Linked DNA regions of Sus scrofa. The protein of the gene in region 1 interacts with the protein of each later gene in a biochemical or structural test. Links are inferred from orthologs where the notes say so. Each region holds a gene or a part of one and is shown on either strand. Other genes may lie near its edges.

Region 1 (4,239 bases):
AATTATTGCTATTACAAGTGAAAAATTCTAAAAGTCAATATAACCAATTTACTCCAGTCTCTACCAAAAAATGGCACTAAAGATCAATAATTTACCTAGCCTACCATCATTCACATATACAATAGTTCCTCTGTATAATCTATGTGAGAACCACGGAGGTTAACTTTCTGAGAAAGGACAACACTTTGTTTCATTACTAGATACATTACCTACTCAGCCTAGTCTCAAAGTCAAAAGAACATTTATTTATTCTGTATTAAGATCCTACCTTCTTCCAAGAGAGGTCAAAAGGACATCCTCATCTGACACATCCTTTCTTTGCTTCCACATCCCAAAGAAACATATCTACACTCTGGCTTTCTGAACTGCAAGGGCCTCATCTCCCTCTTTTAAAACCCTGATAGGCTGACTGAACAGTTAGGAAATACTCTAACCCCTGACACTCAGCACCTAGTCTTGCACAACACCCAGCTACCTCCTCTGAGAAATTTCCCCACCCCCAGACTGAATGCCCTAGTCACCCAAAGCATTTCGGGTATACATATGCCCCAGCACCTACCTTATAATTAACTAATTATGTCTCCCCAGATAGACTGGATTGAAGGCAAGAACAGCAGTGTCCGGGCCAAAGATTCAACTTTAGTACTTAGCACAGTGCTGGGCACATCTCTCAGGTGCTCAAAAACTGTTACATTTTAACCAGATTCTCTCCTCTCCCCTAGTACTATCTCCTGCTGGATGCCCTACTCCAAAATCTGAACATAAGGCTGCTCTGCTCTCAGTAGAGCAGGCTAACACGATGGACTGCTGATTACAACATCAGAAAACCTACTCATCAGCTTCTCCCATTGGAGAGATTCCCGGAACCCAAACTCAACTGAGCAGAATTATGTATACCATCAGAATGGGTGGGAATTCCCAGCACACTACAGAGGGTGCCTTCTCCTCCAAAAGGATTGCTGAAAAGCTCACAGGGGAAGCTTTTCCTGGGGAATCTTCACTGAGCAACTGAACTGGAAATACTCAGAGTAAGTGCCTTGATTTGGCTGAAAAGGGTTCAAAAATATGAACATCTGGCAAAAGTCAGCTAGCTCTCAATTCCTGAAAAACAGTGGCTTCTGAAGAAGAATGAGCAGGAAGAATGGGTGCTGGCCACTCTTTGTTTCAATAAATAAAATCTTTTTTTTCTGACCCACAGCCCACAAGAAAAGGCCAGTACTCCAGGCCAGATGAGATGCTGAACAACCTTTCCTCCTGACAACCACATGAAACTGCGTTAGAAAAACACTGCTTTGGGAATCTCAGCCCCAATGAAAAGTTCTAGTCGGTGTTACTTTACTTAAAAAAAAAAAAAATCTATATGCCCAAGTCCAACATTGGATGGCCCACAGACAACTTGTAAACTTTCTGAAAGTAGATACCACTACCCTGGCAAAGAACACAACTTGGGGAAAGCAATCTCAAAAGGTGAAGAACTCCACAAAGGAGGGCTTTAGTTTTAGAGCCCTAATTCTAACCATCAAACATCTCACCGAAGGGGTGGGGGGATCAACAGTTGCTCAAGGGTATCTTTCATTCTGGAAGCAGAAAAGGAAACAAACAAGAAGCAGTAGGGGAATAACCCCTCAAATAAAGTTCTCTTTGGAAAAAAATAGTAACAATTCAGGCTCCCACCCTTCCCTCTGCTGAGGTCTGTGATTTATATGGCTTTGCTCTGCAGAAAGCTCTTTCTGGGCAGCTCAGGGAAGGAGCCGAGGGAGGGAGAGAAAGAGACACAAGCACAGAAAGGAGAGGAGAGAGAAAAAGAAAATGGCGCAGAGACTAAGTCCCGACTGTCGACAGGGCGACTTTCCCGGGAGGAATCCGGGCCCGGAAAGGCTGCCCGACGCCCGGTGACGGGCGACGCGGGGTCTCCGTTGCCCCCTCTTGGGAGGGCCGCGATATGGGGGCAGTGGGGTCCCCGGAAAGGGGGTCCAGAGGCGGCCCGATGGGAACAATGGGGCCGGTGAGCGAGAAGCCGGGACTTAGTCTCTGGGACGCCATGTCTGTCCTCTGCCCGGCTCGGGCCGGGCGGCCGGGGACCCGGGGTCGGGGAGGGGGCACACTCACCATTCAGTCGGAAATCCGCCTCGATCTGGGGAGAGAAAAGGAGGGACCGTGAAACAACAGGCACATTCACCCCGCGGCGGCCGGCGGGCGAGCGCGCGCGGCCGTGGGCCGGTCCCACCCTGCGCCCCCCGGGATGGAGGGGCCCCGGGAACGGCCGCCAGGGCCCGCCAGCCCCCCAAAATTGGAAGTTGGCGGCTTCCGCCCGGGGAGCCCATCGCCTCCGGCCGGCCGCCCCTACCCAGGGGTTCCGGCCTGTCAAAGCGGCCAGGCCGAGGCCGGGGCCTGCGCCGGGGGTCTTGGAGGGCCGGGGCGGCGCCGGGGACCCAGGCGGGTCGGGCAGGGCCGTACCTGGGAATCGGTGTGGAGATGGTCCCCACTCATGTCGGCAGGAGTGGCGAGTGCGGCGGGCGGCGAGGGGCGCCGAGGAGACGCAGACGGTCGCTACCGGCCTGTGCGGGTGGACAGGGGCTTCCGGAGGCTCCCGAAGGCTCCCGGAAGCGCGAGTAAACGTCGGCGGGGCGGGCCTGAGACTCCCGGTAAGGCTGAGGCGGCGACAGCGGCGGCGACGCTGACTGACTGCCGGGCGGGAGGCGAGAGCAGACCCCAGCAGTTGTGTAACAGCCTAAGTTCGCATTTCGGCTCACTGCGCCTGCGCGGCCGCTTTTAAATGAGACGTCGCTGACGTCAGAGACTCGCGGAAGGAGGCCGAGGGTTGTGGGGCCCGCCCCCTCGCACTTCCCAAGGAGGACCTGGCTTTGCATCGTAAGCCCCGCCCCTTAGTCCTCGCGCGCCGCTGTGATTTGCATGAGAAGTTGACTCCTCCCACGGCCGCACATCCTGAGCAGCCTTCTTTTCCTCTCCCAGCGCCTTTTCTCGGAAACCAGGCCCCTCCCCTAGGCTGTGCGCAGGCTCAGCCCGGACACCGCCTCCGGACCGGGGCCGGCCACTCGGCCACGTGGTGGGCCTTTAAAGGCCGCGGCGGGACCGCGCCAGGCCTGGTCCGTGCTTCTGTCTCGCTTTTTCCTCTTCTCGGAGATTCAGAAACCCTGGCGTTCAGGGCCCCTGAGCTCTCACCGGCTATTCCTCTCTCGTTAACCATACTCCGAGGCTATTTGATGGGAGGAGCTCCTTCCCCAGCCTTTGTCCAGGCTTTCCAATTCCTCGATTATTTCATGCTTTCTTAAAATTTATTTTATTTTTTTTCAGCCCACCAAAAGTCTGGTTTAGCTCCCGTTTTCAGTCGGGTACGTGTGGCCCTGGGTCTCAAGAGGCCTAATTTCATTAGTTCTTTCTTCAGACCTTCCTGAGCCAGGAATTGCGTTAAGAAAAAGGATAGGATAGGGACCAAAGAGAACCAGATCGCGGGGTGAACACGACCTGGCTCTGTGCCCTGCTGTATCCTTAGCGCGCAAAGAGGCCTAGGGGAGAGGAATTGGAGAGAGAACTGCCGCTTATGGAGCATCTACTCTGCTCTGATTTGACACAATAGCTCTTTGAGGTCGCCTATTTTACTAAAGTTTAATTGTGTCAGAGATAAGTGACCTACTAACTGCCTACTTGACATCTCCTTTTGGATACCTCACAAACTTCCCTAAACTCACCATCTTCCTCCACCACCCAGTTAGAAAAGCTCCACCCTGGACATCTTCCTTTTCTTTCTCATTCATCCAGCTGATTGCATGTTTTCAATCTTTCCCTTGGCCACACACCTGTCGAAGTCTGCATTATCTCTTGCTTGGATTATACTACATAATACATTCCTAACAGGGATCCCTGCTTCCCTTCTGGCCCTCTCACAAGTTGCTCTGCAACAGTAGCCAAAGTAATTTCTCTACACCAGATCTATTATCCCCTCCAACAGTACTTCTCATCTTAGTACAAAGTTCAAAGTTCTTTTTTTTTTTTTTTCTTCCTGGTCACACTCATGCATGCGGAAGTTCCCTGTCTGGGGATGAAACGTGCTACAATTGTAACCAGAGCCACAGCAATGACAACCCAGGATTCTTAACCCACTGGACCAAGAGAGAACTCCATAAACCAATCTAATTTTGAATTCTGCTCTTCTGTTGATTAGCTGTGTGACTTCAGGAAAGTTGTTTAACTTCTCTGAACCCCTATTTCCTCATCTGG
Region 2 (3,500 bases), on another chromosome or scaffold:
AACAGGAACGCCAAGAAATACTTTTTGAGATCCTACAATGTACAGGTGCTCTGTCATAACTGAGAATAAACTATGTGCTGAATACTTAGAACAGAGCTCTAAGATGGTATGTACAGAGTAGTTATGGCTCAGTATTTTTGAATTAAAAATATCATAAACACACTTGAAATGTAACCAGTGTGTATAGAGAATACAAATGGAGTAGTTAGGGATCTGCTCTACTTCCAGTGAGGACTATTAGGTTAACAATTTAGGTACATCTAGGAGTTCCCGTCGTGGCACAGTGGTTAATGAATCTGACTAGGAACCACTAAAAGCTTGCAGGTTCGATCCCTGGCCTTGCTCAGTGGGTGAAGGATCTGGCATAGCTGTGAGCTGTGGTGTAGGTTGCAGATATGGCTCAGGTCTGGTGTGGCTCTGGCGTAGGCCGGCAGCTGTAGCTCTGATTCGACCCCTAGCCTGGGAACCTCCATATGCCTCTGGAGCGGCCCTAGAAAAGGCAAAAAGACAAAAACAAAACAAAAACAATTTAGGTATATCTAATCCATTTACTTACTTATTGATTTTTGCTGCGGCATATAGAGGTTCCCAGCTAGAGGCTGAATGGGAGCTACAGCTGTCGGCCTACACTACAGCCACAGCAATGCAGGATCCAAGCTGTGTCTTAGCCAAAGCTCCTGACACCACTGGATCCTTAACCCACTAAGCAGGGCCAGGGATCCAACCCATATCCTCATGGATACCAGTAGGGTTCATTTCTCCAGGAACTGCTCACTTTTAAAAAGTCTAACAAGTAGTGCCAGGCACTGCTGTAAACATTTAACATTCCAATTCATTTAATCCTCGTAACATCACGAAGCAAAAAAGAAGAAGGTTAAACAATTGACCCTGGCCGACTTGCCTATATTTAATCTAATATAGATAAACATCATAAATAAACATTAACAAGTTACCTATCATATCATAATTAGCTAGAGTTTTACATACCTTTCTTACTGTCTTTTCCCTTTGGTTTTTCTAGTTTAATTTCATTGCCAAAGACTTTTAAACCAGTGAGTTCCAAGGCTTTTTCCAGGTCTTCAGCAGATTCAAAATCCACATAGCCAAACTTCCTTTAAGGTGAAGAGGACAAAAAAAAAAAAAGTTACAGGTGGAGGAAGAAAAAACAAACCAAGCCGCACTGAACAAGAGCCACCTTACGTGGGTTCTGGGCAACAGAACACTAACGTGATGATGCGAACAGGGACTGAGGAAGTCGAAAAGCACCTAAACCACTGGGGCTGCAGGGAGCATCTAAGTACCGATGCAAGCTTACCTCCAAGATGCTCATTAGCTACACTGCACACAACAGCTGACGTGATGACAAAAGAACCCTGCTTTAGCACTAAGACAACCCAATCCTGGAGTTCCTGCTGTGCCACAATGGGACCAGTGGCGTCTCTGCAGTGCCAGGATGCATGTTTGATCCTTGGCCCGGCACAGTGTTGCCAGAGCTGCGGCATAGGTCCCAACTGTGGCTTGGTCCTGACCCCTGGCCTGGGAACTCTGTATGCCGCAGGACAGCCAAAAAAGGAAGGAAAAAAAAATATCCTATCTAATTAAAAGCATTAACTAACATAACATAGCTGTTCAGGTGTAATAAATATTCTAAGAACATCAAATCTTATAACGAAACATGTGCTGTATCAAGAGTTATGGGTGACTGGAGTTCCCATTGTGGTGCAGTGGAAACAAATCCGACTAGGAACCATGAGGTTGTGGGTTTGATCCCTGGCCTCACTCAGTGGGTCAAGGATCGGGTGTTACCATTGTAGCATAGGTTGCAAATGTGGCTCAGATCTGGTATTGCTGTGGCACTGGCGTAGGCCAGTAGCTAATTAGACCTCTAACCTGGCAACCTCCATGTCGCAGGTATGGCCCTAAAAAGACCAAAAACGAAAAAATCCATTTGGGGTTTTTACAATTTGACAATTCAATGACTTAATAGCTAATCTCTGAACGCTCTTACATACACACATTTAAGCTAAGGTTCTACAAAAGGAAGGAAAACATGAGCAGATCCACGCGCAGAAGTACTGTGGCATTAACTGCTCCATACCTACCTAGACACACCAATTCTGACGTCGACAACAGCAAGATCATTTTTAGCAAAAACGTCACTGATACCCGTTTTTAATTCAGAAGCAGATTTGCTGAAGTTCAGGTTTCCAACAAAGAGATTGAAAGACGTAGTTGGTTCTGTGGCTGCACAAAAAAATTAACACAAATTTAGTCTTTTCTAAAGTATGGCATAAACTTCATTTCCAGCGTAAAATTTCATGGCACATCAGCACATTGCAGTGTCACATCAGGTTTCAGTATTAAGTCCCTGTGTTGTTCATCACGTGTGCTATTGATCAGGTGTCATTCACCAGCCCCAATTCTCCAAGTTACCTTCCACCTTCTGTTTCTTGGCTTCAGGAGCTGCTTTCTGTTTGGCCATCTCCTTCTTTCGTTTTCCAGGTGCTTCTTTGACAGGCTCTAGACAAGATTTCAAACAATCTGTATGTCAGCCACAGTCAGCCACACATGCTCAAGTACCTTCTTTAAACAAAAAAGTCAATGTACTTCAGAATCTTAACTTGATTACCTTCCTCCTCCTCCTCCTCGTCCTCGTCTTCATCTTCCTCATCCTCCTCCTCCTCCTCGTCCTCCTCTTCATCCTCGTCCTCATCATCATCCTCTTCATCCTCCTCGTCCTCCTCGTCCTCCTCTTCATCTTCATCCTCAGCAGTGCTCTTGGCCTTCACAGGAACAGCTTTTGCCGGGGCTTTTTTCCCTTTGGCTGGTACCGTCTCCATAGCTTCTTCTTCAGAGTCTGAAAGAGAAACCAACGGGTCTCAAGGGAACTCAGAATTACCCCAGTTCCAGGAAAATGTAAGGGGGAAAAAAAGTGTACTCCTGCCCATGTCACTGTGCTTAGCAGCCACAAGAAGAATTAACAGCACTTGGAGATAAACTCCTTCATCATGGAAAATACAAGGTAAGCTGAAGTGTTTTACTCAGGAGCAGGCAACCACGCATGGGTACCCCGCCAGTGCACCCCAACCAGCCAAAAGAAACCTTGCCATGCGTCCCGTCAAAGGCCCACGTTGTCGGGAGTCGAGCATCACTGCCTGAACCTCAACCCTAATATATCTTGCAAACAAGAACCCAACAACTACTACACAATGCCTTACCATCTTCCTCCTCCTCGTCATCCTCGTCCTCGTCCTCATCCTCATCTTCATCCTCCTCCTCCTCCTCATCATCGGAGGCCGGAGCAGCAGCAGCAGCAGCTCCTTTCACCACTGCTGGCTCAAAGTCGTCCTCGTCCTCCTCTTCGTCCTCCTCATCCTCTTCGCTGTCGTCTTCGTCTTCCTCATCACTGTCTTCTTTCTTGGCATTCTTGCCATTCTTTGCCCCCTTAGCTGGAGCGGCTGCTCCCTTCTTACCAGAGGTTGCCACCAATGCTTTGGCTG
Region 3 (4,300 bases), on another chromosome or scaffold:
AGTATTCCCAACTAGATTATCTACACCAATAAATTGGAATTCTATTATTTTGCTTTCATTTTGTCTTAAAAAAATGAAGTAGCAACGCTATTATATCAGTCACACAGAGGACATGCAGATTTAGCAGTATTGATATTATACTCTATCTGGTTGGAATTAAAGACACCCTGTACCCACAAGTACACCAACAGCAGGTCACACATTAACAGTTGTAACTAAGCACTGTGACAAATTAATCAGTTCTTCCCACATTAGTCCCTAATAAAACAAAAAAGGGAAGGGAGCAAAACAAATTGTTACAAAATGGGCCATGTAATTTTGCCACAATTGCCAGAGTTTTAAAGAGTAAAGCAATTGTAGCCAAATATAACTGCATAAAATGTTTTCAAGTGTTTTAAGATAGATGTATATAATCACTTTAAACCCTTGCCTTTTAGTATAAGGTCAATACTGCCAATTTCATCTGTGACAATAGCACTTGGAGTCATACCATTGCCTCCATTATTGATCTGATCCTCCTCAATCCTCCTTTTGACAATCCTAAAATGATTGAAATGTGCTCCACAATCCTTAATCCAAAGCATTCTTAATCCATCTCTTCAGATATGTCTACAGAAAGACACATGAAAAGCAAGATAAACATAAGAACTTCCCCAGGTAAGATAACCACCAACACCCCCAACATCCCAGTTCACACAAACCAGAGCAGAATAGACATTTACACAGTATCACAGTCTGAAGAGCATGGAGAGTTAACTAAATTTAAACAATCCTGTCTATGACATCACTTAAAATACAATTTATCAGACATGAGGGGAATGTAGATGTTAGGAGCAAGGGGATATTACACAAGAATGCAATTCAACACTTTAGCCCACTCTGAACAAAAACAGTTTTGAATTAAAAAATGAAAAGATTGTACTGAATAAAGGAAAACTGTATACAACATGGGTTCTACAAAAAAGTGTCACCAATCATCTTATGTACGAGAGCGAGATCTGCTATGACGGGGAGAATAGCGTGGTGATCCTCTGCTTCTCCTTGGGGAATAACTGCGACTCCTGCTGTTGCTTCTGCTACGGCTTCTGCTACGACTACGGCTTCGAGATCGAGATCTTCCATAACTTGGACTTCTGGGCCCATCAACTTTAACCCGGATGTAGGCAGTTTCTCCCTATTGGATAGACAGAACTTTCGATTGAAAGATCTAAGCTTTCACCTGTCTTCAGGCATGCTGAATGAATCAACGTAACTCAAACCAGAAATCTGGCACTTTACTGGGTTTTTACTTGGACACCCTTGCCTGAATCTTACCTTCAAATTCCACTGTTAAGACCACTGTATCCAATTCTGGCCAAGGAAAAGAATATAACCTACCTCATGAGATCTAAACTTAGTGTTATCCAGTTTTCGAACTGCATAGGTCATATCTTCTTTCCGTACAAACTCCACGACACCAGTGCCATCTCGGTAAACATCAGCATAACATACATCACCTGCTTCACGCATGTGATCCTTCAAATCCTGCCAGCTTCCACTTGGAGGCAGTCCTGAAAAAGTGCGTTTTCTTTCAATACCAATTATCCTAAGTTTCACATTAAACATAAAGGTTACATTAAAACAAGACTTAAAACCAACGGTCTTTAACATCCCGTTTAACGAGCTGTTAAAAGAGTTCGGAATCAAGAGTCCAAAATTATTTGTAAAGTTAAGGCTCTTCTTATCTTCTAGGTACTGCAACCTAATTCGCTAAGTCTCAAATAGAGTAGTCCTTGTTAACTAAAGTCACCCAAGGCACTCCGGTTTAAGTGAAGACCTGGCATGAAAACACCAAGAAAAACTTCAAAACGGTGTGCGGTCCCCTTATCATCAATCCGCACGGACCCGCCAACTCACCAGAGACAACCACTCTGTTTTCAGAACGCCTGGATGGGGGGCCATAGCGCCCTCGGGGAGCCCCGCCGCCACCACCCCCGCCGCCGCCTCGGCCGGTACCACGGCCGCTTCGAGGAAACTCCACCCGCAGACGGTATCCATCGTAATCATAGCCGTCGCGACCATACACCGCGTCTTCTGCGTCTCTGCGTGACCAGAGAAAGCCAAGGGGTAAGGAAAAGAAGAAAAAAAAAAAAAAAGGGCCAGGAGGGGCGGCTCACTCCGCCGGGGAGCGAGCGGGCCCCCGCACATGCGCACCGGGGTGGAAGAGCCCACATGCGCCGCATAATAGGAACGGCCCCTCCCCCACCCAGAAGCACGCCAGGCTCCCGACCACTCCAGCAGCCCTCGGCGCCTCAGTTTCCCGCTCCGAGCCTGCGAGTCGGCTCTAGGGACGTCCGTGGGGCCCGGCCACCAGAGGAGCCACGCCGACTCGGCTCCTTACTCGACTCCTGCATGGGCGATATCGTCTGGCCCCCAACCCAAGAACCCACCGCCCCATTCCCCAAGTGAAGGCCCCGGAGCCTTCCCCAACTACTCCAACCTATTTCCTCAAGGCCGCAAGCCCCTGGCCGCCTCACCGCGGGTCCTCGAACTCAACGAAGGCGAAGGGCGGTCCTCCGCGGCGATTCTTCAGGTCGATGTCGCGGATAGCACCGTATTTGTAGAACACGTCCTCAATGTCCTTGGTTCGGATGTCTGGAGGTAAGTTACCCACGTAGATGCGGCAATCGTTGTTCCCTGCCGGGCCACGGATCACACCACCTCCCGACATGGCGGCGACGAAAAGCGCGGACTCGAGAACAGGCCTTCCCACCAAGCCTAGCGAGCGGGAGAGCGAGCCCGCAGCGACACCACGTCTCCCGCGGCCCCTCCAAAATGGCGCCTTTATCAGCTCGGCGCACGGATATGGGGGGGAGGGAGGAAGAGAAGCGGGAGGAAGCAGCTATTCGATCTCACTACGCACGCGCAAGAGCGTAACGGGTGCTGCGAGAGTGACGCTCGCGCAAGCGCGACGTCACCCTCCGCGCGAAGGGAAAAAAGTTCCCGCCTTCCCGATTTGTCGAGGGGTTTAATAAGGGAGTGACCAGCCTTGTGGCAAAATTAAATATAGAGCTCTCGTAAAAGGGGTTATTAATCTCTGTCGAATCCTAAAGAATCAGCAGTTTCCTCAGGAATGTTTCTCTCAAAAAAACGGCGTCTTGAAAGTATTTGGTGAAACCTAGCCTAAAGCTAGGTCCCACCATGCTCTGCGCTGTTAACGGCCTTTGGCGGGAAAGACTGCCGGGGGCGGAGTCAAAGGGGGAGGGACCAGGCGGTTGCTCCGGAAACACGGGCATCCTTGGAGAGTGCACCTCGTTCAGGAGTCGCGTTGCGGGTGAATCAACGCGGAGCCGAGACGTGACTTTGTCTTCCCGCCCCATCTGCGAACGGGCCGTGGACTGCTTGGACGACTGTCTAATGCAGGGGAACCTGGCTGAGACGCTTTAATAAATATTCTACGCTAAGTACCGTTCCACCTTCGGTTCAGAACTGACCTCAGTTCAACGCTCCTTGTGCTCGTGGCGGTAATTCCTGGCGGCATCAGCCAACCAGGACCCAGACCTCTGCTTCTTTTTTAAATCACCTATCGCCAGGGCCCAGCGCAGCGGAGAGGTCCAGTGAAGGTTTGCAGAATGAATTGTGTCTGTTATTTCTACAACGTCTTTCAAAGAACGAAAAAGACGCGCGCCCTCCTGTTTGTATTGCAGAATCCTGACGTTCCTTCCTTTTTTGGAACTCATTAGCAAATCTCTCAGGTAATATGAATGAGCAAAGTGGATGTGTGAGGATTTCTGTGACCACTGGAGACCGAAGTGGCGGCTTAAGGACTCATCTCGCCAGCATGTTGGTCCAGGGAGATAAGAACTTGTTACATTTTGCCACGGAGCCATCTGAAATCTGGATTTTTATATGAAATACTGGGATTTTAAAATATTAATGGTGAATTCAAATTAAAAAAAAAACCCTGTCATAAATATGCTGAAACAGGTCTGCACCCTGATTGAGAGGATGATTTTCTTCATTTTTATTTATTCGCATCAATCCCTCTCCCCAGTGATGTGATGCTGTTTACAGAGATACCAGAAAACGTTATTGCAATTGAATGGAGAAATCACGGAGAATATAAGGGGAAATTAAAATGAAGTCATGGATAAAGTTAATACACAAAATGGCTGCAGTAAAAATTTGTGAGTTCTAAAGATGGATTACAAATTTGACCCTAGTCATCATGGCAGTCACAGTAAAGAAGGAAACAGTATATTCAAGATCCAAAGTGCCTTAAAAAGATTTTTCAGAAGGTCATGTTTTCAGTTCTAAAAGG
Region 4 (3,500 bases), on another chromosome or scaffold:
AATAGTAACGATCTCTATTTCTGCTCCGTGATCTTCTTTTACCATGATCACTGCTACGAGATCTTGATCTGCTTGTGCTTTCACTACTTAGAGACAGAGTCTGGCTTCTTCTAGACCAACTGCTATCTCTAGTTCTTGACCTCTTTTTGTCTCTTCTACCTCTAGGTCTGCTACTCTCCCTGCTTCTGGATCGTTTGCTTTTCATTCTTTTCTTCCCATGATGCTTTCTACGATTCTTCTGATCATGCCCACTCCTACTCTGGGAGCGTGAATCTGAACTTCTCGATCTTCCCCTCCTTCTGTGTCTGTGGGTATATGGGGAATATACTCTGTCTCCTCTGATGGATGAGCTCAGGTCTCTGGGAGAGGACAATGATGTAGAGTGTTTCTCTTCCTTCTTTGATTTGATTCTTGTACCAGAATCACAATGACCTTTATTTATTTGTTCATCCTTTCCAAGGACAGACCTTGGAGATGAACATCTGCTAACATCACTATCACCAGAACTGTAAGACTGTTCTTGTTCTTGTGTCTTCACTGTCTCCATTTTCTCATAAGAGCCTAATTCCTCAGAATCAGAGGACAGTTCAACAAGTTCTGGGGTCCTCTCAGCTAGTGGCTTAACAAACCCAACAATAACACAATTATCTGAAGAAGAATCACTGTCATTATTTAGGTCTTCATTGGTTTGTACTCCTTGTATCTGAGATGTGGCTCTTCCTGTTACAAGTTCTTCATCCGAGCTATCAGAAGTATTTAAAAGGGAAGACATGGAAGCCTGCACCTGCTCTGAGCTTGAATATGATGGCCCTGGAGTTTCATCATCCCATGGTGCTTGACTAACAGTGGCTACATTAATATCTAGCTCTTGGGTCTCAGCTTCATCTGGAGATATTGTTATGACTGAAGAATCAGAATGGCTACCTTCTTCATATGAAGGAGCAGGGCAATCATAATTTGCATGCTGGTCAAAAGCTGCCATATTAAAAGGAGATCGAGCAAAACTGATAAATTCATGTATAAAATGCTCAGTCCGATTAAGTAAAAATGGCCTTAAATCAGACACAAATGCCTGACTCTCCAAGTCATAACGAGTAACATTGCTCATGATGATGTGCTGGACGATATTCACCAAAGATCCATGAGCTCCAAAGAGAACCGTGAGTTCACGTTTTAACCAGGGGACTAATCTGTGAAGGCAAGCTGGATTTCTACGGAAAAATTCAGCTGAAATATCCCTGTAGCGACCACCATCTTCAATATTTCTAACTCGAGCACCAGCACGATAAAGAGTTCGCCTAAAATTAATAATATCCTGTTCTTGAATTTTCCGCAAAGATCTTTCGTCTGCAGTTGTTGGCCTCCTCACTGCAATCTGTCTCATGAATGGAGAAATTTCACCATCTCTGGGTCTTGCTGAAAGGCCTAACCCTTCAAATAGTACTCCACTATCTGGTGGAGTTGTTGTTCTTCTATTCAAGGGACGACTAGGTGAATAAACAGAAGCACTTCGTTCCCTTGTCATAGTTGTACGGTAGCGGAATCTCCGAACATCAGGAGTAGCAAAGGAACCATTGTGTGAAGGCCTTAGGACATACTCCTTGAAGTCATCTTCTGCCCTCACAGAATGGAAAATAGAATCAAAGGGCTGTTTACACAGTGGACATTCAGCTTTGTTTTTTGACCACTCCTGTACACATCGAAAACAGAACTTATGTAAACAGCGATCTAAGTAAGACACATTATCAAATCTATCCAAGCATATAGGACACTTAGAATCAGGAGATGCATCAGCTGGAACTGTTTGCTGCAATTTGCTAGTGCCTGCTTTAGGTGAAAAGTTGTCCATTTTAAATTCCTTAGCGGCTGATGCCATTATCTGTAAAAGGGAAAAAAAAATATCAGTAACCTGATAAAAGAGGAATGACTAAATCTGAAAAAAAAATGCAAATGACTGAAACACACTTTGGTGAAAATAGCTGAGTAGTTCACTATCTTTGTAACATAAAAGGGCAGTGTAGCATAGTAACATAGTACTTAAAGCACAAGATCTAAAAGTCAGATTTCCTAAGTTTAAATCCTGATTCCACACCAGCAATGTGACTAAGAACTAGTTACTATCCTCACGCTTCAATTTCACCTGTAGATCACTGATAATACAATCTGCTTCACAGGATTTGTGAAGATGCTTTAAAAAAACCCCAAACCCTTAGAAAAGGTGCCTGGTACTTAGTAAGCTCTCAGATATTATGTAATATTCTCTTACTCTTTAAAAAAAAATTGAGAAATATTTGAACTGTACAAAAAATTACAAAAGAAAATATACCAAGTACCCATGTATCCACCACTCAGATTTAACAACTAACATTTTCTCATGATTATCCCAGATTTTTAAAAATGTTATGTCCTCCTCCCCCAATCCTCTAGAAAACAAACCCCCAAAATATCAGAGTTCTCAGTTGGAGTTATTTCTGTGTAAGGTCTTATATCTTTCATACATATGTCTCAAAAAATATGGACTACTGATTTTATTTGTGGTAGGTATTACATATGTCCCTTTAAAAATAGCTTTAGTGAGAAAATCTGCACACCAGAAAATTCACCTATATTTAAACAAGTTCTCTACTTTTGGTGGATCTTTCACACACAGAAAAGGATCTTTTAGTGAAGATTAAATGAAGTAAGTAAATGTAAAAAGCACTCAAGAGCAGTGTCTGGTTGTAGCAACTGCTGAGTAAATGTTAGTTGCTGCTATTATTACTACACTAGTATTATACTACACTATTGTTACTCCACTATGATATTCAGTTCATCACTGACTCCTTTCGGCATCCCTACGAAGCTTTTTTTCAACTTTTTATTTGATCCAGTCAACTACAAAGTATCCTGAAATCATGCTTTCAGTCCCCTTATCTTTCCCCACAAGGATCACTAGAATCTTAAAGACTAGTTTTGTTTTCTTTAAATTTATCAGTTTATATTGGTCCACAACTTACAAAATGATTTTGCCAGAGCTGAAATCTAATTGCATTCATTTTGGCCTTGTTATCCTATAAAATCTCTCTTCACCTGTTTTCTATACTAATCATTTACATATGGCAAATATTAATTTCTTCCTGTATGTTTTCTTGGGCCTATTATCCATCTTTCTCCACCTCCTTTATTATAGGAAGTCCTATTACCAGTCACTGTGCTGTCTAGTCAAATAAAATTCGAATTTTCTAAACAAGAGACTCATTGGCCATATCCAGCCAAGAAAATTAAAAGAAATAAAACCCACAACAAAAACCTATGATTGTAAAATATAAATATTTCATCATAGATTTCAAACTAAACTTGCTCATCTAGGGCACCTTAGCTTTCTTTCTTTCTTTCTTTTTTTTTTTTTTTTTGTCTTTTTGTCTTTTGTTGTTGTTGTTGCTATTTCTTGGGCCGCTCCCGCAGCATATGGAGGTTCCCAGGCTAGGGGTTGAATCGGAGCTGTAGCCACCGGCCTACGC
Region 5 (3,500 bases), on another chromosome or scaffold:
GAGTCTCAGAAAGTCTGCTTGTGCCGTTAAAAGACAGCACACTTCTCTCCAGCCAGCCGAGTCAAGGCTCTCACAGCCTGCCAGGCACCCTCCACACGCCAGGGCAGGTACCAGGGCACTCCATTCACCAGCCAGTGCGGATCTCCAGCGACAGAACCCTCCCGAGTTTCGCTAAGTAAACGGGTTACTGCGTCCACCACAGCAGAACCGCAGGCGCAGCCTCGGCCTCTCTTCCCGCCGCCCGCTCTGCCGTCTGCACAGGCAGCTTGGGCCTGAAACCCCAACCAGCGAGGAAGTCCCCTTGGGGGGCGGCTCTGGTCCGCGGTCCTTCAGCGCGCACGCCGGCCCAGGGCGGGAGCTCATCCGCCGGCGGGAAGGGCCCAGGAGGCCCCCGGGGTGGGAGCTGGGCCTGTTCTGAGTTCCCCGGGCGCCCATGGAGCTGCGGGGAGCAGGGCACATACCTGAGGCCCCACAGGCCCAAGCTCTCTGAGGACCTCGGTCCCAGAGGAATGCGGCCGACGCTGAGGGATCTGGGAGGACTCGGCTCTACTCACATTTCGGCGGTGAGGACGGGTAGTCGTCTTTGAACAGCATCCGCAGTTTAAACAAGCCTCCCTCCCACGGCGTCTGCGGGGAGGCAACACTCTGTTAGGTGAGCAGGGGTCTCCGCGGCCGGTCTGGCCCAGCAGGGGCTGCGCTTGCTCCCGCCGTGCCCCGGACCGAGAGAACCCCGCCGACCCACCCCGCGCACCGTCAGGGCCTCCGTGGGCCCCAGGAAGAGGTGCCAAGGGCCTTCCCTCAGGCCCCCGGGTCCCCCTCCTGCGCGTCGAGGCCACGGATGGAGGCCACGGAGCCTCTCATCACCCAGCACAGAAGGGGGCGCCTCCTTCCTCCTGGGTCACCGCACTCTTCCTCCCAAATGCTTGCCATGTGCCGGTCCGAAGAGACCCGGGCACACTCAGATGGGCCGAGGGGCAGCCCCGTGGCCAGGCATGAAGGGCACGCTGGGCCCCACACAGCCAGCTCGGTGGCCGACGCCCGGCCTCCACACCCAGGGGCAGGCAGGCGTCCCAGGGAGCGTCACCCCGGCCAGGCTGCCTCAGCCTGGGCACCTCCCTGGCCCCCGGCCGCGCGGCGCCTCCCTCCCCATCTGCCACAGCCCAGGTCCTACCTGATTCAGGACATGCCCAGGGACCACCTGTCATCCTGTCTTTGAGGTGCCCCCCCCCCACCAGGGACAGGACCAGGGCTCACGTGACCGTCCCCAGCGTCCCGTACACCTGAACCCGAGCCCTCTCGGGGGCCCCCTCTTACCCCCTTCTTCCCGGGAATGGCGCACTCCCAGTTCATGAGGTTCATTGTGCCGTCGGGGTTTTTTGTGGGGACAGCCACGAACCCCTGCGAGAAACCACACAGGCCCGTCAGCGCCGCGGCAGTGGCCCCCCCACTCCCAGAACAAGCCCTCTGGCTGCGCTGCAGGGGCCAAAGGGCCGGCCCGTGGGCACGAGGGTCTCCGGGGAACCGGCCCGCGCCCCCCGCCCCCCGCCGAAGCAAAGCTTTCCTTACAAAGGGGTGGTCTTTCCTCCAGGCCTTCCTCTCCTGGGCGAGTCTGCTGAGGGCGATCCCCGACATCTCCAGTCCCTGCAAGAGACGTGCGGGGTGAGCGGTGAGCCAGGGCGGCCCGGCCTAGCAGGCTCACGTCCAAGGAGCAGGCCCCCAAAGGGCCCCACCCGGCCCCACGCGCCGCCGCCCCGCACGCTGCCCTGCCCGCCGGCTAGACGCTCGCGCCCCTGGGTCCCGGCCTGTGCAGGTACCTACCGGGTCAACCTCCCACCCCCGGAGGGGCAGAGACAAGACCCCGGGCCCAGGTCACGGCTGCTAGAGGCCGCACAGGGAGGGGACACCGTGTGCTCCCAGCAGCCACCTGCACGACAGTCCTGCCTCTCCGGCTGTGCCGCCTGCCGGAATGAAAGGGACCCCACTTTCACCACCAGACCCCACACGAGGGGCAAGGACAAGACAGGAGGTGTCGAGCCCCTGAGCCCTGGGAAGCCAGGGGCGGGGCCGCATCCTTTGCTGCAGCTGGGGTGCTGTCAGGCCACCAGCACAGAATCGGGGGCTCGGAATCTAGGCTCAGGCCCCGCCGGGAGGAAGGGAAGCAGAGGAAAGCTCCCCGGACAGAGGGCAGCTTAAGGAGGGCAAGGCCAGCACCCCGCTGCGACTGTCGCCAGGCCTGAGCGTCTTCACTGGCCCCACCCCAGGATCACTGCCACTTCCGCTGCCAAGAGCAAACCAAGACTGCCTCCCATTTGCTTTAGGAAAGACGACAAAAAGGGGAGCAGGCCCACTGGAGGGGGGCTGCTGGAAAGCCTGCTCATTCCTCGTGTGGGGCTCCCCCTGCACCTCCGGACCACAGACCCTCCAGGCTTGGTGCCCGCCGCTTCCGCATCACGCAGGCCAGGCACAGGGCGCTCGACTGTAACCCCTGCTGTCCCTGAGGACGCAGCCCTTAGGGGACACAGAACTTGCTGGAGAACTTGACCCTCATTGTGTCCAGTGCTCCTCAGTGTCTTTGACAATGTTAAGGATCCTCAGGTCAAGTGCTTCCGCTACGCAAGGCTTTGACAAGTCGGCGGGGGACCTGGGGGGGGCATCCTGGAAGCACATGGGCAGCGGATGCGGCCACAACGTGGCACTCAACCAGTCAAGGCCAAACTCCTGCTACAGACGGCACCGGAAACCAGCCCTGCCAGCCCTGTCCCAGACCCAGGACCCCAGCCTCAGCACAGCACTGCCGACTACCAAGCCTGAGAAGGGAGGATCCAGAAAGTACCCCGCCGCCGAGGGGGGGCACACCTCAAACACAGGGGGTCCGCCCGCCGCCTGCTGCTCACAGCAGCCCCGGCCCCCTAATCACTTGGCGCGCCCAACCCCACACCCCTTTTGGCCCCAGCTGCTCCAGCAGCACAAATCACACCTTGACCCCACATCTGCTCCTTGGCTGCTCTGTCGCCAGGCCCCCAACACAAACACACCCCTGTCTGTGCAGGAGGGTGGGGCTGCGGCAACCATTCAACCGCAGACCAGCAGGTCGGCGAGGCCGGGATGGCAGCCTCAGTGGGTGTTTATGACACGGACGGGCCCCAGGCCCAGGGGCCCCATGGAGCCGGGAACTCTGGGTGTCCTTTGGGGATCACCGTGGCAGCCTCCAGCACGACACAGGAGCCCGGGTCTCGGAAGCAGGGTGAGTTAGTGCAGACCACCGGACCAACTGCATGTGGTGCACTGTCCACAAGCAGGTGTGCTCGTGCCACCATGAGGAACAGAGACGGTCAAAACTTGAAGCCCCTGCCACTCAGGAGGCATGGGAACAGGTGCAGCTCCACCCCAGCACTCTGAGCACACCTTCCACAGGCTCTCACCCCGCCAGGCTTCAAGATTAAGTCCCAGACAAGTAACACCAGTCCTGCACCCAAAACAGAACAGCTTTTTTTTTTTTT
Region 6 (4,057 bases), on another chromosome or scaffold:
GATTCTTCCGGCCCCAGCCCACCTCTTGAGGGAAAGTTTCTGTTTAGACAGCTTGTCTTAAAACCACAGTGAGTTCTTCTTGTTCTGCTTGGGCCACCCTGTAAATACTTCAGTTGGCCTATTATTTTAAAAGGAAGAATAAGAAGCTTATATTTTCATCTCCTCCTACCCATCTCTGTATCCTGTGCCAACCTGCCCTGAGCACCACAGGCTTCTCTGTGGGACCCTGTGCTTCCTGCTCTCCCCCAGGGATGGAGAGCAACCCGTGGTCATACTCCAAGGCCAATGAGAGGCGTCTGACCTTCAGTTTAATTCTGGAGGTGACATCTCATCTTAGCTCTCCTCCCCTCCCCCACACCCCCTTCAGGAGGAGCGGATGCTCAGTCACAAAAGAGGATGGAGCTGGAGGCGGAGAATTCTCACAGGTGATGTGGGCAGCCTCCACAAGTGATGCTGGAAACAGCACTTGACTGTATCCCGCCCCACTTCAAGCGGGTCTCTCAAAGCAAAAATGACCTACATTCCCGTGGGGGGGGGGACCTATTTGGCTCTTAAGTTATTTCCTGTCCCAGGTCTTTCATTGGCACACCAGTGAAGAATCTGGGATTTCCAAGCAAACCTCCAGTGCTTTCAGTCTGCAGGTCTCTTGCGGCCCAGTCCTCCCTGACCCCGGGCCCTTCTGCCTTCCAGAGGGACCACCAGGGGAAGGCAGCTTTTGATCACACATGGTTGTCTGAGCCGGCGTTGTTACCAGAAAGCTGGGCTCCAGCCTCCCAAGCAGTAAAGGTAGGGGTAGTAAGGGTAGGTGTGATGCATGGCGATGAGGGAGGCCCGAGAGAAGCCTTCCTCCTTCAGAGCCGGCAAGGAGGGGTGCTTCTCCAGGTCCCCCAGGTCCGAGGTGAGCTGCTTCCGCTTGGTTTTATAGCGTCTATTTTGGAACCATATTTTCACTTGGGTCTCCGTGAGCTTGAGGTTCTTGGCCAGATGAGCCCTTTCGGGGGCCGACAGATACTTCTGGTGGCTGAACTTCCTCTCTAACTCTATGACCTGAGTGTGGGAGAAGGCGGCCCGGGAGCGCTTCTGCGGCTGCTTGGGGGTTGGGGGCAGGCTCGGCAAGGCGCCTGGAGTGTTTTCACAGTCCAGCAGATAAGTCTCAAGGTGCCTATCTGGAAAGGAGAGCGGAGAGGCAGGGATGGGAAGGAAAACGTTACATGTTAGCAGGGAAGAGAATAGAATTCAATCCACCCTTATCTCTTCTGGTGAGTGAACAAACAGCCCACTGTCAGTTTGGATACATTGCACTTTTTTCACAGGACTCAGGAACTCTATGAGTGGGGCATGAGTGTCAACTTAGACCATGTATTCATTTTCCAGGAGTCATCAAGACCCCAAGGTAGGAGAGGTTAGTGGTAGAACTTCCTGCCACATTGTCCAGTAGAATTAAATAGGGATTCTGGATCCATGTGTTGAGGAGAGGAGGGAGAAGGGAGGCAGGGCAGGCTCTGAGAAATAAGATACCTGGAAAAGCAGGCCCCAGAGGCATCTGGTGTTAATGCCCTGGTGGCAAGAGAGGGCTTCCGTGGTAGAGAGTTCATTCACTTGCTCTAAACCCCCCCCCCCACTTCTTAAATGAGCCATTAGGATGCCTTGTAAGAAGGCAGTCAATTGAATGGTAATGATACATAGACTTATTGTGGTGATCACTTTGTAGTGTATATAAATATCAAATATTATGTTGCGCACCTGAAACTAATATAATGTTATGTACCAATTTTAACTACCCAAAAAAAAAAAAAAAAAAGAAAGAAAGAAAGAAAAGAAAGTCTACTGCAAATGTTCCGACGGTGTTACATGTCCTCAAGACCAGAGGGGCTCCTAAATTTACTGTTTTATTGCCCATGGGACTGGGAAGCAAAGGGAGTCTTTGCAGGTCAAATCCTAGTTTATTAATATTAATAAGTTACTGTCAGTAACTTGTTATTGTAACTGCCAAGAGGTAACATGAGGCTAGCGTCGATTGTGGGTCCCGCGGTGGCTGGGAGCGGTGTGGGGGTTTTCCACCTGGGACCCTGGGGCACGGTGGGCGCTGTGTTGTGCGCTCACCCTTGAGCCTGGGTCTCCTAGCGGCGCAGGGAGCACCTTGCCCGGCGAGTCAAGCCCATGTCTAAATCCTGCGCCGCCCAGACGCTGGGGTTCAGGATTAATTTCCCAGGCGCGCCCGCAGCGGAGGCGGTGAGGTCTCTTTGCCTGTCGCCACCGGCTCCCGCATCTCTGCAGCAGAGATCCAGGAGGTCCGCCTAGCACACGCTCTCATGCGGTGTAGCCCGCGGGCCGGCTGCCCTTCCTGTGGGACCCACCCCGGCCCAGACCGGCCTCCCCAACCTCGCTAGCTTACCTGGCTCGGTCTCTGCCGGCGGCTCGGCCTCCCTCCGCGCGGCGCGGGGCCGGGCGCTCCTATGGTCCTCAGGCGCCCCGGCGCTGCCTCTTCCTCCCTTGGGCTCCGGCTCAGGGTCTCGCCTCTGGTCTGGCTGGCGCCGGGGCTGCGGCGGTGGCTGCGGCTGCGGGCTGCCCGCTTGGCCTCCGCACTGCTCCGTGCGGTCCCGTAGGATGTCCTGGATGAGGAAGGAGGTAAGCGGCTTGGACTGGATGGGTGGTGCGGCGCGGGGGCTGCAGCCTGCCGTCCCCCCCTCCCCCGGCCGTAGCTCGGGAGCCCGGAGCATCCTGGCGGCTCAGCACCCGCGCCTGAGCAGAGGCCCGGGCATCTGCGCCCAGGCTGCGCCGGCTGCGGCCGCACCACTTTCACTTTCCGCGGCCCGGGTGCACTTATAACCCGGGGGGGGGGGGGGGCGCCGCGCCGCCTTCCCATTGGCCGTACTCCCGAACCCCGCCGCTGATTGGTCGCTGGGCCCTCCAGGTGAGGGGAAAAGGGGAGTCTAGCACTGTCTCGGCCTGGTCTTCCAGAGAGATTCCTTTCCACTTTCGTTCTTCTCCTGAATCCGATCTCGCCTCCCTCCCCGCTACGTCGTTTTCTCAGGCTGGAAGAGAAAACCAAAGCGAGTCTCCTCTTGCCCCAACCCACAAAATAAGTTTCGCTGTTTCTGGAGAATCATGATGCAGCAGAGAAACACTCCATTTAGCTCTTAGAGGACTGTTAAAGTCCCTTTACTCACGAAAAGAAATAGTTGAGGCAGTTAACACCATCCCACTTCACAGATAAGAATTCTGGGTGCCCAGTGACAGGGAGACATTGATAGCAAAGCTGAACCTACTAAATCTAAGGCTTTTGAAAAGACATGACAGCTAAGTGCAGCATCTGGCCCCAGGTTGCCTTCTATACTGGACTTTATTGGGGCAATTGATGAAAGTGGAATAGGACGATGACAAAGTATTGAATCAGTGCTAACATTATTGAAGTTGCTAACAACACTGTGACTGCGTAAAAGAATATTCTTAGGAAATAAACGCTAAAGTATGTAAGGGCAAAGTCCCACAATTTGTGTAACTTGCCCTCAGTTGGTTCAGAAACAAAGATATAGATGGGCAGATAGATCCTATATGATGAAGTGAAGGGGTTAAAATATTAATTGGTGAATTTAAAAAAGAGTATACCAGTGTTCTTTTGAACTATTTTTATTTCTCTGTACATCCTAGTCTAAGACACCTTTCATTTGATTGGAAACCTTTCAAAAAGTTGGTATGTTGTGCGTTTGGGGTGGGAGTAAAGTTACTGTGGATAAAGCAACAGCTAAAGAGAACCACCCTGTGCAATGGGAAATTTTTCACCAAAAATGGTTTTCTTCTCTCATTTTTTTTTTGTAAAAAATTCTAACTTTTTCTTTTGAAATAGTTATAAATTCCCAGGAAGCTGCAAAATCCATACCCTTAGCTTCCCCCAGTGATGACATATTATATATAACTTTGGTATAATGTAAAACCCTGGAAATTGGCATTAATATGCACCATTAACTAGGCTACAGACCTTATTTTATTTTCACCATTTAAAAGCTTGCATTCAGGTGTATGTGTGTGTAGCCCTATGCAATTTTATCACATGAAT

Evidence for each region.
Region 2: the proteins of TOP1 (region 1) and NCL form a complex in vitro, tested with the Homo sapiens proteins (2 studies listed by BioGRID and IntAct). The link is inferred for Sus scrofa from reciprocal best matches to the Homo sapiens genes TOP1 and NCL.
Region 3: the proteins of TOP1 (region 1) and SRSF1 form a complex in vitro, tested with the Homo sapiens proteins (2 studies listed by BioGRID, with this or other methods). The link is inferred for Sus scrofa from reciprocal best matches to the Homo sapiens genes TOP1 and SRSF1.
Region 4: of the proteins of TOP1 (region 1) and TOPORS, one has a biochemical effect on the other in vitro, tested with the Homo sapiens proteins (2 studies listed by BioGRID). The link is inferred for Sus scrofa from reciprocal best matches to the Homo sapiens genes TOP1 and TOPORS.
Region 5: the proteins of TOP1 (region 1) and UBE2I form a complex in vitro, tested with the Homo sapiens proteins (2 studies listed by BioGRID, with this or other methods). The link is inferred for Sus scrofa from reciprocal best matches to the Homo sapiens genes TOP1 and UBE2I.
Region 6: the proteins of TOP1 (region 1) and NKX3-1 form a complex in vitro, tested with the Homo sapiens proteins (2 studies listed by BioGRID and IntAct). The link is inferred for Sus scrofa from reciprocal best matches to the Homo sapiens genes TOP1 and NKX3-1.

The regions. Positions count from the first base shown.
Region 1 is NC_010459.5:43,708,831-43,713,069, reverse strand, and holds the start of TOP1 (DNA topoisomerase 1), read right to left. Parts: upstream 2,801-4,239; 5' UTR 2,491-2,800; coding exon 2,458-2,490; intron 2,135-2,457; coding exon 2,110-2,134; intron 1-2,109. UniProt on the Homo sapiens protein: Releases the supercoiling and torsional tension of DNA introduced during the DNA replication and transcription by transiently cleaving and rejoining one strand of the DNA duplex.
Region 2 is NC_010457.5:132,167,715-132,171,214, forward strand, and holds part of NCL (nucleolin), read right to left. Parts: coding exon 3,219-3,500; intron 2,858-3,218; coding exon 2,630-2,857; intron 2,521-2,629; coding exon 2,434-2,520; intron 2,245-2,433; coding exon 2,103-2,244; intron 1,113-2,102; coding exon 988-1,112; intron 1-987. UniProt on the Homo sapiens protein: Nucleolin is the major nucleolar protein of growing eukaryotic cells. It is found associated with intranucleolar chromatin and pre-ribosomal particles. It induces chromatin decondensation by binding to histone H1.
Region 3 is NC_010454.4:34,279,319-34,283,618, forward strand, and holds the start of SRSF1 (serine/arginine-rich splicing factor 1), read right to left. Parts: upstream 2,801-4,300; 5' UTR 2,711-2,800; coding exon 2,517-2,710; exon of another isoform or gene 2,090-2,516; intron 2,082-2,089; coding exon 1,897-2,081; intron 1,551-1,896; coding exon 1,378-1,550; intron 1,175-1,377; coding exon 980-1,174; 3' UTR 1-979. UniProt on the Homo sapiens protein: Plays a role in preventing exon skipping, ensuring the accuracy of splicing and regulating alternative splicing.
Region 4 is NC_010452.4:33,872,929-33,876,428, reverse strand, and holds part of TOPORS (E3 ubiquitin-protein ligase Topors), read right to left. Parts: intron 1,880-3,500; coding exon 1-1,879. UniProt on the Homo sapiens protein: Functions as an E3 ubiquitin-protein ligase and as an E3 SUMO1-protein ligase. Probable tumor suppressor involved in cell growth, cell proliferation and apoptosis that regulates p53/TP53 stability through ubiquitin-dependent degradation.
Region 5 is NC_010445.4:40,562,442-40,565,941, forward strand, and holds part of UBE2I (SUMO-conjugating enzyme UBC9), read right to left. Parts: intron 1,959-3,500; exon of another isoform or gene 1,819-1,958; intron 1,642-1,818; 5' UTR 1,633-1,641; coding exon 1,567-1,632; coding exon of another isoform or gene 1,399-1,566; coding exon 1,315-1,398; intron 628-1,314; coding exon 555-627; intron 1-554. UniProt on the Homo sapiens protein: Accepts the ubiquitin-like proteins SUMO1, SUMO2, SUMO3, SUMO4 and SUMO1P1/SUMO5 from the UBLE1A-UBLE1B E1 complex and catalyzes their covalent attachment to other proteins with the help of an E3 ligase such as RANBP2, CBX4 and ZNF451.
Region 6 is NC_010456.5:7,784,237-7,788,293, forward strand, and holds the start of NKX3-1 (homeobox protein Nkx-3.1), read right to left. Parts: upstream 2,801-4,057; 5' UTR 2,721-2,800; coding exon 2,396-2,720; intron 1,167-2,395; coding exon 748-1,166; 3' UTR 1-747.